Linked DNA regions of Anolis sagrei. The protein of the gene in region 2 binds, or shares a complex with, the protein of the main gene of each other region. Links are inferred from orthologs where the notes say so. Each region holds a gene or a part of one and is shown on either strand. Other genes may lie near its edges.

Evidence for each region. Proteins that work in one complex are often made in the same cells at the same time.
Region 1: MED23 (region 2) and MED4 share a complex: the UniProt entries of both Homo sapiens proteins name them as parts of the mediator complex. The link is inferred for Anolis sagrei from reciprocal best matches to the Homo sapiens genes MED23 and MED4.

The regions. Positions count from the first base shown.
Region 1 is NC_090021.1:150,137,291-150,144,971, forward strand, and holds the start of MED4 (mediator of RNA polymerase II transcription subunit 4), read left to right. Parts: upstream 1-4,620; 5' UTR 4,621-4,671; coding exon 4,672-4,757; intron 4,758-6,546; coding exon 6,547-6,613; intron 6,614-7,681. Other genes in the region: SUCLA2 (succinate--CoA ligase [ADP-forming] subunit beta, mitochondrial), read right to left, coding at 4,363-4,518. UniProt on the Homo sapiens protein: Component of the Mediator complex, a coactivator involved in the regulated transcription of nearly all RNA polymerase II-dependent genes.
Region 2 is NC_090021.1:82,353,091-82,360,464, forward strand, and holds the start of MED23 (mediator of RNA polymerase II transcription subunit 23), read left to right. Parts: upstream 1-4,186; 5' UTR 4,187-4,271; coding exon 4,272-4,322; intron 4,323-6,821; exon of another isoform or gene 6,822-6,975; intron 6,976-7,374. UniProt on the Homo sapiens protein: Required for transcriptional activation subsequent to the assembly of the pre-initiation complex. Component of the Mediator complex, a coactivator involved in the regulated transcription of nearly all RNA polymerase II-dependent genes.

The DNA of each region.
Region 1 (7,681 bases), about 68 Mb from region 2:
CAGCCTTGCCGTACGCCTTTCCCAATCTTGAACCAGTCTGTTGTTCCATGGTCAGTTCTTACTGTTGCTACTTGGTCCTTGTACAGATTCCTCAGGAGAGAGACAAGGTGGCTTGGGATGCCCATCCCACCAAGAACTTGCCACAATTTATTATGATCCACACAGTCAAAGGCTTTAGAGTAGTCAATGAAGCAGAAACAGATGTTTTTCTTAAACTCCCTGCCTTTCTCCATTATCCAGATCTCAAGCCAGGCTGCACATTTCCTACCTCAATCTAGCAAATAATACAACAAGAGGATACTGCAAGACTGCATAATATAATAACAATAATAATACTTCATTTATACACCGCCACCATCTCCCCAATGGGGACTTGGGGCGGCTTACATGAGGCCAAGCCCAACAACACATCAATAAAACAACAAGGCAGCAAGCGAATAGAACAGTAAAATTAATATAACTCACATATAAGCAATAACACACAAAAATTCAAAACCTTATGGACAGGCCAGTTGTAATAAATTTAAAATTTAAAATAAACACTGGGCGCGTACAAAAGTAGGATGTATCTAAACAGGAGGGTTTTAAGGATAATGGAGAAATTAACAATTGAATCAGTAGCAAATCTTGTCACAATTGTATGGCACCAGTAGATTAAGTAATGAACCATATATTACATATATATACTGATGGTGCAGCGAGTTAAACCACTGAGCTGCTGAACTTGCTGAAAAGTTAATAGTTTGAATCTGGGGTGCGGGGTGAGTTCCCACTGTTAGGCCCAGATTCTGGCAAGTTAGCAGTTCAAAAACATGCAAACATGAGTAGATCAATAGGTACCGCCTTAGTAGGCGCTCCATGCAGTCATGCCAACCACATGACCTTGGAGGCGTCTACGGACAACGGTGGCTTTTTGGCTTAGAAATTGAGGTGAGCACCACAGAGTCGGGTATAGCTATACTTAATGTCAGGGAAAATGGGTACCTTTACCTTTATAGACCTTTCCCTTTAAACCCCAAAGTGACTTGCATTATGTTATAACTATTTTAATCTTCACATTAGCCTTCTAATGTAGATTAAGTCAAGACTGACTGTCTGACAATGTATGGGTGTCATGACTGAAATAAAATCTGAACCCAGTTCTTCCTGGTGCAAGCCAATGAATACACATATTATTAATGTCTACTGGCTACTCCTTCGCCCACAATTAGTTTCTGCACTAATCCCTTCTGAACGTGATTGGATTTGTCTTTAGAAACACAAACCGGCTTTTAACATTCCATGAAACAAACTCACTTTTAAAAAAACAAAAAAACTCAAACTGGGGAAAAAACAATGTGAAGTGGAAAAACACTAGAAGAAAGAGGGATCAGATCCACAATACACAGTTGAGAGTATTACTACTTCGTGACCTTCTGCCTAATTCACTATCCTTCATACTCTCTCCTGATCTTACATCAAAATACAGCTTTGTCTGCTTCCTTTGAACCACTAGCACAAAAATTAAAAATCACACTATGATAAAAAAAGACCTTCACCATTTTAATTCTATCATATGACAGGGGAATCACACTAATAGTTAACTTTTGCCGAACAAAGCTCTCCTATTTGGAACAATAGTTTTACTGTGTGCCAGTCATCTACCACACATACATTTTCACCGTTCAGACCCCCCCCCCCCCCAAGCTACATAAATAGCTACTTCCATACAATCTGTATATAAAGTTCTCAAGTAATACCTTTATCAATGACTTTGGTAACAGAAGAGAAGGCATGCCTATCGAATTTGCAGATGACACTACATTAGGAGGGATATTTAATAGCTCAGAGACAGGATCAGAATCCAAAATGACCTTAACAAAAGGAATTTCAACAAGGACAAATATAGGATGGTACAGTCAGGCAGAAATAAATGAAATGCACAGATACAGGATGGGCAACGTCTGGCTTAACAACAGTCCATGTGAAAGAGATCTTGGAGTCTTAGTGGACAACAAGCTGAAAATGTTAACAGTGTGATGAAGCAGCTAAAAAACCCAATGTGATTCCAGTCTGCACCAACATGAATGTAGTATCAAGATTGAGGGAAGTCATGGTCCCACTCTATTCTGCTTTGGTCAGACCTGACCTGGAACACTAAGTCAAGGAGGATGTTGACAAGCTGGAAGGTGTCCAGAGAAGAGCAAGCAGAATGAATCCCCTTCTACACTGTCATATAATCTAAATTATCAAAGCAGACAATCCAGATTATTTGCTCTGAACTGGATTATATGAGTCTACACTGCCATAAAATCCAGTTCAAAGCAGATAAATCTGGAATTTATATGGGAGTGTAGAAGGGGCCTGATGAAAGGGTTGGAAGCCAAATCGTATGAAAAACAGCTTAGTGAGTAGCTTATGTTTAGCAAGGAGAAGAGAAGGTTGAGAGGGGTCTTGATAGCCATGTTTAAATATTTGAAAGGATATCAAACTGAGGAGGGGAAAGGCTTGTTTCCTACTGCATGGAGACTAAAAAACAGTGGTGCAATGGATTCAAATTGTAGGAAAAGGATTCCACCGAAACATTAGGAAGAACTATATGGCAGAATGGAAAAACACATAATGGCTGCATGGAAGGGCCCTTAGTAAAATCTAAAGAAGGGCATGATAAAAAAAATCAAAAGAATCAGGGCCCTTCCACTCAGCCATATAACCCAGAATATCAAGGCAGAAAAACCTGTAATATCTGTTTTGAACTGGGTTATCTGAGTCCACACTGCCATATAATTCCAACTCAAAGCAGAAAACGTAGGATTTTATTCAGCAGGGTCAAGGGGCCTCAGAAAGCAAAATATAGCCTTCATGGCTCAAGGAGGTCACTGCAATGAAGGAAAATAAAAAGGAAGAAGTAGATTTTATGACAGGCACCCTCAGCCTGCAGTCCTCCGGCTGTCTGGGCCTCCAAATCCCGGGATTCCTGACCACTGAACAAGCTCCTAGGGCTTCAGGGCATTGGAAGCCTAAAACACCTGGAGGGCCGTTGTTTGAGGATGCAAAAGAAGTGGCAATAATATCACAGATATCTATGACCAACAACAAAACGCAAGTTGTAAACTGTTATCAACACAGAGCTATGTTAACATTAACTGTGCAAATTGGTTTAAACTGCACATAAATATAACAAAGAAAATGCACAGGGTATAAGTCTAAATCAGGGGTCCTCAAACTTTTTAAACAGAGGGCCAGGTCACTGTCCCTCAAACTGTTGGAGGGCCAGATTATAATTTTTTAAAAAACATGAATTCCTATGCATACTGCACATATCTTATTTGTAGTGCAAAAACACTTAAAAACAATACAATAATTAAAATGAAGAACAATTTTAACAAATATAAACTTATTAGTATTTCAATGGAAAGTGTGGGCCTGCTTTTGGCAGAGGAGATAGGATTGTTGTTGTTGTTGTTGTTGTGTGCTTCCAAGTCATTTCAGAGTTAGGTTGACCCTGAGCGAGGGCTGGGTAAATGACCTTGGAGGGCCGTATCTGGCCCCTGGGCCTTAGTTTGAGGACCCCTGGTCTAAATGCTACTCAGTAATTTCCCTCTAGAGCAGTGGTTCTCAACCTGGGGTCCCCAGATGTTTTTGGCCTACAACTCCCAGAAATCCCAGCCAGTTTACCAGCTGTTAGGATTTCTGGCAGCTGAAGGCCAAAAACATCTGGGGACCCCAGGTTGAGAACCACTGCTCTAGAGTTTTCTCAAGGCTTGAGTTATAAATTCACTCTTCCAAATGATATATATTCCTTCCATGAGGAAGAACTTCCTGACTGTGAGAGCCGTTCAGCAGTGGAACTCTCTGTCCCGGAGTGTGGTGGGGGCTCCTTCTTTGGAAGCTTTTAAACAGAGGCTGGATAGCCATCTGTCAGGGGTGCTTTGAATGCAATATTCCTGTCCAGGGGGTTGGACTGGATGGCCCATGAGGTCTCTTCCAACTCTTTGATTCTATGTTTCTAAGGCCTTGAGTCTCTTCTGTCAAACGGCAACTGGAGCCCCTTGCACATAGCTGGATAAAATCCCCATTGAACTGGGTTATGTGGCATTGTGGACTCAGATAACGCAGATCAAAGCAGATATTGTGGAAGACCTGCCTTGATAGTCTGGGTTATATGGCTGTGTGGAAGGGCCCTCCCAGGGTTCCCCAACAGTGGTGCCAAACTGTGTTAACTCGGCAGTGCAGAGTGTGAGCCCTCCCTCTGCAGAAAGAGGTGAGTTCCGGGTGCCGGCGCCGGAAGGAGGGGGAGGGCATCTAAAGGACGCTGGGGAAGGAAAGCAAGGCCAGGCCAGGGTCTGTCTCCACCGCCCTCCTCTTCCCCGCTCCCCTCACCTTGGCAGCGAGGCTGGCGCGCCCTCCCTGGTATCCCCTCAGCTGCCTGGCGGCCGCTGTCACCACCCGAGAACACATCATGGAGGCGGCCATGACGAGCCTCCTTCCTCCCCGGCCCCTCGGCTCAGGCGAGCTTGCCCCGCTCGCGCTACGCATGCGCCAGCGCGAGCCACAGCACGGGCCAGGGCGCGCGCCCTCAATCACCCTGGCGCCACGAGGGGCGCTGCCACTTCCGGTTTGTGTGCCTGTTTCTCTCGCTTCCGGCGCGTTCACCCTCCCTCCCTGTTGTCAGAGACGCGGAGAGAGGCAATGGCGGCGGCGGCAGGGGTTGGAGACCGGAGTAGCACTCGGGAGCGGCTCTTGGCAGCGCTGGACGACCTGGAGCTCCTTGCCAGGTAAGTTCCCCTTGTCGCAGGGGCAATGTCTGCAGGGACGCCTTCTTCGCTTCTCAGGGCCGAGGGCCTTGGTCATCTTCTGGCTGATGTTGATGCAGGCGAAACGTCAGGAGAGAATGCCTCTAGAACATGGCCATATAGCCCGAAAAAAACCTACAACAACCCAGTGATTCCGGCCATGAAAGCCTTCGACAATACATTGAACATCTCTACGGGGAGAAACTGTTCCAAGCCATATCAACATGAGCCAGAAGATGAATTCCCAGGACTGGGACAAAATAGACAACCTCACTTACAGGAAAATGGAGATAAACCCTTTTTCCTAGTTCCAACAGACCTCACAACCTCTGAGGATGCTTGCCATAGATGCAGGCGAAACGTCAGGAGAGAATGCCTCTAGAACATGGCCATATAGCCCGAAAAAAACCTACAACAACCCAGTGATTCCAGCCATGAAAGCCTTCGACAATACATTGAACATCTCTACTGGGAGAAACTGTTCCAAGCCATATAAACATCAGCCAGAAGATGAATTCCCAGGACTGGGACAAAATAGACAACCTCTGAGGATGCTTGTCATAGATGCAGGCAAAACGTCAGGAGATAATGCCTCTAGAACATGGCTATATAGCCCGAAAAAGCCTACAACAACCCAGTGATTCCAGCCATGAAAGCCTTCGACAATGTATACTCAAACAGAATATTAATTGAGGACACAGAAATGCTGGTCCACTCTGACAACCGGATAATATAAACCATAAGAATGTCAGACCTCACTACCTTTGAGGATGCTTGCCATAGATGCAGGCGAAACGTCAGGAGAAATGCCTCTAGAACATGGCTCTATAGCCTGAAAAAAACCCACAAGAACCTACTCATAAGAATGTTTTTCATACATATGTTATGGTCATAAAACATTCAATGTATGTACAAACAAATCTTGTCGAAGTACAACAGCCAGACTTTGCAGCTGCTACTCAATGCTAATCAAGGCTTCAAATAGGCAAAGGTTCTTTCCCCCACTCTTGTCCTTCCACAGATATATTTACACCCCACTTGCCTCATTCCAACACACCTCTGAACAAACATCTGAGGGTGCCTGCCATAGTTGCAAACGAAACATCAGGAAAGAATGCTACTGAAACATGGTCATACAGCCCAAAAAAAACTCACAGCAACTCAATGAAATATGTTCTGGTTTTTCAAATATGGTTCCAGTCACCGGAGAATAAATGGAAGCGATGCAGCAAACCAGGGGGGGGGGGGGGAAACTTTTATAGGAATTGGGGCCAAACACATGTAGCCAGAACATGACCTAAAGGGCCAATTTTTTGGGAAACAGAATTCAGATGAGCACTTAGTTCTTGTGTAATTATTTTTGTTGCACCTCACTTAATCAGAATACACATGCATATACATTAAACCAATAAGGTCATAAAATGCAAAATTGCAAACATTAACAAATAGACTTCCTAACTGGAAGCAGGAGGCAGAGAAATTCCATGGGTTTTGAGTTGTTCATTATCTTCTTATGAGGAAGTCAATCACTACATAAGAAATTGATAGGTTCCATCTGCATACAGCTGACTAACCTTTTTTTTCATCTGTAAAGTACTGGAAGGCAGAAATTGATTTGGTTATCAGTATAAAGATGTTCTTGTGAAATATGGAGAGCTATTAAGTTTATGATTTTTTTTGAAGTTTAACAATAGAGGCAGGAAAATGTGTTTCTGTTCTAAAAGAGGATAAACTCTTTCTTGCTTCTTTCTTTATGCTAAATGTGCTTCAGGGAGCTGATTGAAATGCTGGCAATTTCAAGAAACCAGAAACTTACACAAACCGGAGAGGACAGCCAGGTAATCAAAGAGTTTCGAAATAATATAAAGAGTATTAAAGTGGTTGACCTTTTCACTTCTTACCATACTTACTCAAGCATAATTTGTTATCAATTGTAATGTTCATCTCAATTTTGAAAGTGCACATTGCAAAAAAAAATGTTTTCTTGTTAAATGTAATGCATGGGTTCCCCTTGCCTGTTGGATGTTCAGCTCACCACCCTGGAAAAATTGACAGGCAAGGAGAAGCCTTGCTTCTCCATCTGTCCAAGGCTGGTGAACTAACTAGCCTCAGCCTGACGGACGTTTGGCAGCGTCTCAAATAAGGCCTCATTCACAAGGCCTTCAAAACTGAGTTCTCAGCCTGATGGAAGGGTGCAGGCAATTCTAACGCACCATCAAATCTTATGCGTACCTCACCTTTGGCTATGTAATTTAGCCAAAAAAAGGTGAGCATTAAATTCGAGTAAATATGGTATTTCAAATGTTGAATAGTCTGTTAGACCAGGAAAACAAATTTCTCCATCTCTAATAATAATAATAATAATAATAATAATAATAATAATAATAATAATAATAACAACAATAATAACAACAACAACAACAACACTACTACTACTACTATTTTATTTTTATACCCCGCCTCCATCTCCCCAAAGAGACTCGGGGCAGCTTACATGGGGCCAAGCCCAACAGAACACTTAAAATGTAACACATTAAAATGCAGATCAACAAAATGATAACAATAAATAATATAACAAAATGAAACAACATTAAACAGTATATAAAACAACATCAAACTAACAACCAATAGCAAAGTTCAATGTCTCATTGTGCGTGGGCAAACTGGAGTCATAACATTAGAAGATAGAGCTAATGAGTAAGGTGCAAATAACATTTAGCAGCAATGAGAATAATAATGATTTACCATTAAGGATTTATTTTTATATAACAATCGTAAACTGCTTGAGGACAAGTTACTTGATATAACTTCACATTTGCTACTTTGAGGGACAAGAAGTCTTAAACTCTTATTTTAGGTGCTAGACATTACTGTAATTAGGAAGTGTCAAAATACTGTATTTGATG
Region 2 (7,374 bases):
AAACAGTCCAAGACAATAAGGCAGAAAGTCAATAAGTGAGGGCAAAAGAGTCCGAAGAGGATTTCCAAACTGTGATTGGTGGGGCAATGTCCTTTGGGAAACTGTATCTCCCTGGTCGGAGCCCGGGACCCATGCCTGGCCCCCTCTCCGGGGCTCCTACGGGCGACCGCCGTGGGTCCCAAGCTGCTGGATTGAATTGGGAGCGAGCACTGCTGCGGAGGAGCGGAAAACCCAGCCAAATTGACAATCAGCTGTTTCTCTGCAAGATAAAATACTTAAAACAAAACTAATTTTTCCCCGGGTGAAGGAGCCCAAAACGAGAAAAGGGAAATGGCAGTTAGTCTTAGAATTAGTTGTAGAAAAATATAAAATTGGAACGGCGGCGATCCGCCATTTTAAGTATTTTTGTGGATAAGGAGGTCTGAAATGGCGGTTTCCGTATCCGTGGTCTAGGCGAACGCAGATTCGGGGTCCGGGGAGCGCCCGGAGGCGCCCCCCGCGGGCTCACGGTCCTCCGGAGCCCAAAAAAAACGTCTATTGCAATGTTATTTGTTTGAGTCAAGAAAGGATACAAAAGTAGCATGCGGAAAGATAAAAAGTTGCAAGTTTCAAGTACTTTTATTAGGGAAAGGATACAAAGTAAAGGGAAGGGGAAAGCAAGATGAATACTGCAAGCATTCCTGGGTTTGAGCTAGCCGCTGGGGCACATTTCATCTGTTGGTCCCAAAAGCTTGGTCCAGGAACTGCGGAACTCTCCGCTGCAGCTCACACCAATGTGAAGGTGGGGCTCCCCGCTGCGCTCGGGCTCATTACTACTTGATTGTTATACAGATTGGGTTGTTATAGGTTTTTCAGATTATATGGCCATGTTCTAGAAGCATTTTCTCCTGACGTTTCACCTGCATCTATGGCAAGCATCCTCAGAGGTTGTGAGGATGCTTGCCGTAGATTTCACAAGACCTCACAACCTCTGAGGATGCTTGCCATAGATGCAGGTGAAACGTCAGGAGAGAGTGCTTCTAGAACAGGGGTCTCAAACTAAGGACCGGGGCCCGGATACAGCCCTCCAAGGTCATTTACCCCGGCCTCACTCAGGGTCAACCTAAATCTTAAACGACTTGAAAGCACACAATAACAACAATCCTATCTCATCAGCCAAAAGCAGGTCCACACTTCCCATTGAAATACTAAGTTTATATTTGTTAAAAATGTTCTTCGTTTTAATTGTTGTATTGTTTTAAGTGTTTTTTGTACTACAAATAAGATATGTGCAGTGTGCATAGGAATTCATTCATTTTTTTTTCCAAATTATAATCCGGCTCTTCAACAGTATGAGGAATTGTGACCTGGCCCTCTGTTTAAAAAGTTTGACGACCCCTGTTCTAGAACATCTATATATATAAATTTGTTAGGGGCATCCAACGAGGAATGGATAAAACTCTAAAAAAACCAATGAAACTTAACCAAAATGCCCATGCTCATAACACAACCCAAACATATTACTCAAAATGAAAAACAACACAACAACACACTCAAAACGGCAAAAAAAAAACTCAAAAAAACCCCAACGAAACTTAACCAAAATTCCCATGCCCATAACACAACCCACAAGGTATAAACGTATCTACTCTAAATGAAAAACAACACAACAACACACTCACAAAACGGCAAAACAACTGAGCATGCGCATTGGCGCCCAGCCGCAAGTTCCCTGGCGCGCGCACATGCCCTTCCGGCCAACGTTCCCTCTGTGGAAACCATGCCCACTCCAAGCCCCGCTGCGCCGCTTCCCGCACACACACACACCCCTGCCGCACATACACACACAACCCCACACTCCATCACTCCCCCCGCCGCCGCACACGCACACACGCAACCCCACTCCCCCCACCGCCACACACACACACGCAACCCCACACTCCATCACTTCCCCCGCTGCCGCACACACACACACACAACCCCACTCCCCCCGCCGCCGCACACACACACGCAACCCCACGCTCCATCACTACCCCCGCCGCCACACACACACACACAACCCCACTCCCCCCGCCGCCGCACACACACACAACCCCACGCTCCATCACTCCCCCCCACCGCCACACACACACACGCAACCCCATGCTCCATCACTCCCCCCGCCGCTGCACACACACACACAACCCCACGCTCCATCACTCCCCCACCCCAATCTTACCTCCTTTTACTTCACACCACCTCCAAACCCCACCCCGCCCCTTCCCGCCCTGTCAAAATCTAGGAAAGACAGGAAGGAAGGAAAGAAGGAAGAAAGAGAAAGGGAGGTAAAGAAAAAGGGGGAAGGAAGGAAAGTTAGAGAAAGAAGGAAGAAGAAAAGGAAAGAAAAGGAAAGATGGAAGGAAAGAAAAGAGAGACAGCAGAAAAGAAAGAAAAAGGGGGAAGGAAGGAAAGAGATAGAGAAAGAAGAGGAGAAGGAAAGATGGGAGGGAAGGAAGGAAGGAAGGAGGGAAAGAAGGAGAGAAAGAGGGAAGATTGGCCACAGCAACACGTGGCGGGTAAAGGTTGTTATTTCTATTATTATTATTATTATTATTATTATTATTATTATTATTATGCTATTGTTCCTATGAGACCCTGGAGGAATGGGAGAGGTGTCAAGTCCCAGAGGCAATGCATTGCATTATTGTTATTGTTATGATGGTGGTAAAATAAAAGGAAATAAAAAGTGAAAGAAGGAAGCAAACAGGGAGGGAAGAAAGGCAAAGGAAGGAGGGGGAGGGAATGAAGGACAGAGAGAAGGATGAAACCAAGTAGTGAAAGAAAGAAAGAGGTAGAGAAGGAAGAAAGGAAAGGGGGAGGAAAAGGGGGAAGGAATAGGTAGGTACCTCTCTTTCATAATAGTCCAGATATCTACCTCAACTTTGATAAGTTTTACTATAGGCCACAGCAACGCGTGGCAGGGCACAGCTAGTGTCTATATAGCCCGAAAAACCTGCAACAACCCAGTAATTCTAGCCATGAAACCCTTCGACAATAAGTTATACGTGCCCCAACTGTGACCATACCTCGTGAAGGCGGATCTGGCCAGGGTGGTCCATGTCTTAGTCACCTCCAGATTGGACTACTACAATGCACTCTACGTGGGGCTACCCTTGAAAATGGCCCGGAAATTTCAATTGGTCCAACAAGCGGCGGCCAGGTTGTTAACTGGTGCTCCTTACAGGGAGTGGTCAACTCTTCTGTTTAAGGAGCTCCATTGGCTGCCGTTCATTTTCTGGTCCCAATTCAAGGTGTAGGTGCTTACCTACAAAGCCCTAAACAGTTTGGGACCCGCCTACCTGCGTGACCGCATCTCTGTGTACAAACCCACACGATCTCTTCAATCATCTGGAGAGGCCCTGCTCGTGCTCCCACCTCCATCACAAGCGCGATTGGTGGGGACGAGGGAGAGGGCCTTCTCAGTGGTGGCCCCTTGACTCTGGAACTCACTCTCCAAGGACATCAGGCATGCCCCAACTCTGGCAGTCTTTAGGAGGAGCCTGAAAACGTGGTTGTTTCAGTGTGCCTTCCCAGAATAAGGAAACTCCCAGCAATATGTCCCTAAACGCACTTTATTAGTGATCTAGGATTGTCTGCATGTTTCATCCCTCTCCAAAATTTCTATCCTAGTTATATGTCACCTGGTCATGCCCAGCATTATTTTTAAATTTTTAATTATTACATTTGGCCCAGCCATAGGTTTTTAAATGTCATTGTGTTATTGTTAATGTTTATTGCTTATTTTCTGCTTATGAGTTTATTATTGTTTTGTATTACTGTTGCTATTGTTTTTATTGTTGTATTGTGGGCTCGGTCTCATGTAAGCTGCACCGAGTCCCTTGGGGAGATGGTAGCGGGGTACAAATAAAGTATTATTATTATTATTATTATTATACAGATTTCTCAGGAGGCGGACAAGGTGTCTTGGTATCCCCATACCACCAAGAACTTGCCACAATTTATTATGAGCCTGCTCCCATTGCCTTGAGCTATGGCCAAGCCCCATTCATTCATTAATTCATTGATTCAATGTAACCCATAGGCTTGCACTAACTCGTTCCTCCTGCAGGGGTCGCTACCGAACTCCCTCCGTTCTGCTTCCTAGAAGGGCTTCGCTTTGCAAAGCGCCGAGGAGACACCGCCTCCTCTCTCTAAGGAGACCCGGATGTGGAAGGGGATCCCTTCCGGGGTGGGGGCCGGTGGCTGCGGTGAGGCTCCTGCCAGCGAGAGGCGGGGGTCGTTTTCCGCTCAGCATGGCGGTCCCGATGGAGACCCAGCTGCAGAGCATCTTCGAGGAAGTGGTGGTGAGCGCCGCCTTCTCCTGCTCCGGGGAGGGAGGAGTGCGAGGGAGGGAGGACGATTTGATGCCTTCCTGGTGGGGTTTGGTCTGCAGCTCCCCTTCGCCCCAAAGAGATGGGCGGTGTCGTCCAGTGGCATCTGAAAGAAACCCATTCGATTAGACAGCCAAGGTGTCACTCTCTCAGCCACCCATGCGGAGAGAGAGAGTGTCAGATTTTTGGAGTCTTTCCGATTTCTGGATAAGCCCAGGATGCTTAGGCAGTTCACGTGTGGCTTGCCACAAGGGCTGCCTATGGGCCACAGGCCTCTCTCGCCCCTAACCTGTTGTTCCTCATCCTCCTGGCCCTGGGGGAGGCCACCCTTGCAATGCCTGAGGGCTCTTCCAGACAGGCCCTACATCCCAGGTTATCTGGCAATGTGGACTCACGTAATCCAGTTTAAAGCAGAAAACCTAGGATCAGATCCTGAGATAATATGGACTGTGTTGTTGTAGGTTTTTTCGGGCTATATGGCCATGTTCTAGAGGCATTCTCTCCTGACGTTTCGCCTGCATCTATGGCAAGCATCCTCAGAGGTAGGGAGGTTTGTTGGAACTAGGAAAATGGGTTTATATATCTGGAATGACCAGGTGGGACAAAGGACTCTTGTCTGTTGGTGCTAGGTGTGAATGTTTCAACTGACCAAATTGATTAGCATTTGATGGCCTAGCAGTGCCTGGGGCAATCTTTTGTTGAGAGATGAATAGATGTCCCTGATTGTTTTCCCTCTGTTGTTTTGGTGTTGTAATTTTAGAATTTTTTTAATACTGGTAGTCAGATTTTGTTCATTTTCATGTTTTCCTCATTTCTGTTGAAATTGGCCACATGCTTGTGGATTACAATGGCTTCTCTGTGTAGTCTGACATGGTGGTTGTGAGAGTGGTCCAGCATTTCTGTGTTCTCGAATAATATGCTGTGTCCAGGTTGCTATGGCTGACTTCTCTGGTTGAAGTAGTCTGCAGTGCCTTTCATGTTCCTTGACTCGTGTTTGGGCATTGCTGCGTTTGGTGGTCCGTATGTAGACTTGTCCACAGCAGCATGGTATACGGTAGACTCCTGCAGAAGTGAGGGGATCCCTCTTGTAATATGGACTGTCTGAAAGTGCCCTAAGAATCTTTTCGTGTGTGTACACACACACACATATTCCTGTTAACAGAATGCAAAACTTCATATATTAGATAATTTGGATTCAATTCTGTGAAACCCTGTGCTTCAATAAAGTGGTTTAAGATGCTTCAAAGTTTGGTTTTGTGTTCGTCTCATACGAAGCAGGGAGCAAGTTTGTTTTCTGCTTCCCTGGAGACTAGGACATGGAACAATGGCTTCAAATTACAAGAAAGGAGATTCCACTGCTGAACGGCTCTCACAGTCAGGAAGTTCTTCCTAATGTTCACCTGAACATTAGGAAGAACTTCCTGGCTGTGAGAGCCATTCAGCAGTGGAACTCTCTGCCCCAGAGTGTGGTGGAGGCTCCTTCTTTGGAAGCTTTTAAACAGAGGCTGGATGGCCATCTGTTAGGGGTGATTTAAATGCAGTATTACTGCTTCTTGGCAGGGGGATGGACTGGATGGCCTATGAGGTCTCTTCCAACTCTTTGATTCTATGATTCTAGATGTGAGGAAGCAAATATATTGGATGTGAGATCACAAAAAAATGCTTTGGAAGAAAAGGAGTTTGTAGAAAAGGAGTTTGTAGAAGCTAGGGATCATATCTGACCTGCTATTTATTACTAGCTCTTTTACTATGGAATACGTTTCATTGAACTCAACTGTTCTTGAACTTGTGCTTGTAATTATTATTAATTATTATTATTATTAACTTTATTTATACCCCGCTAGCATCTCCCGGAGGACTCGATGCGGCTTACGCAGGCCGAAGCCTCAAAACACAATACAGTAAAACAACACAACAGTAGAAAACATAGCAAATCAATAAGTTAAGCAAGCAATAACGGCAATAACAATACATCATGACACTTTAAATATAAAGAGAAGGGAAGAATCTCTTCAGGGAAACAAGAAAGCATCTTGGAAAAGGGAAAAAAGTACAATGCAGAACAGTGCAATTTAGAAACTTGTTCCAAATTATGAGTCAACATTTAATTCCGGACAACTATAAAATCACCTGAAAATACAGGAAAAACCTGTATTTCGTCATATATATTTTATTTAACTCCAGATCATTCAGAATTATAATATGACTTTGTGTTTACAGTCAGTGATGAATTTACTCCACCCATGTCAACATTTTGCACAGAGCTGGAATCCAAAATGCTAGACTCATCCAGCCACTTTGTATTTTTAAGACAGGAGATTTAAAATGTAATGTCATAAGCAGCCCCTTTGTTGTCTTATTTCTTTTGTTGATGTGATGATCTTCTGTGTGAGAGAGACAAGGTGTATGGCTAAGACCACCTTTGCGTTTATGTACTTCCTGATTGCCCTTGCTGGGCTCTCCTGTCCACAGAAGTGACTAGAGAAATCCGTAACAAACAAGGAACCAAAAGGTATTATGTCAAAAGAGCAAATACTGATTTAACTTTCCCAAGCAACATGGAATGCAAAGCCAACTTCAAATTGAGGCTCCAGATTCTTTGTGGAAGGATCTTTTGAAGTAAAAGGTAAAAGATTTATACGATCTGAAGAGAAACTTCTTTTTGACCATCTAATTCACACTTACATTCACTTCTCCATGACAGCAGACTGAATTTACTAGTGAATACACTTCTGAATAGATCAGATTGGAAAGCTACAAACTTCAGCTATCAACCACTAAGGGTTTATCTACATGGTAGAATGAATACAGTTTGACATCAGTTTAACTGCTATGGCTGAAAGCTATGGAAACATGAGAGTTGTAGTTTTACAAGGTCTTTTGCCTTCTCTGCCAAAGACTGCTAGTGTAGATCCCAGGTTTCCATAGCACTGAGCCATGATGATTAAAGTGCATTCATTCTACAGTGTAGATATAGCCTAAGAGTGGGAGTCAGACTCCTTGTACTACTAATGGGTATTAATGC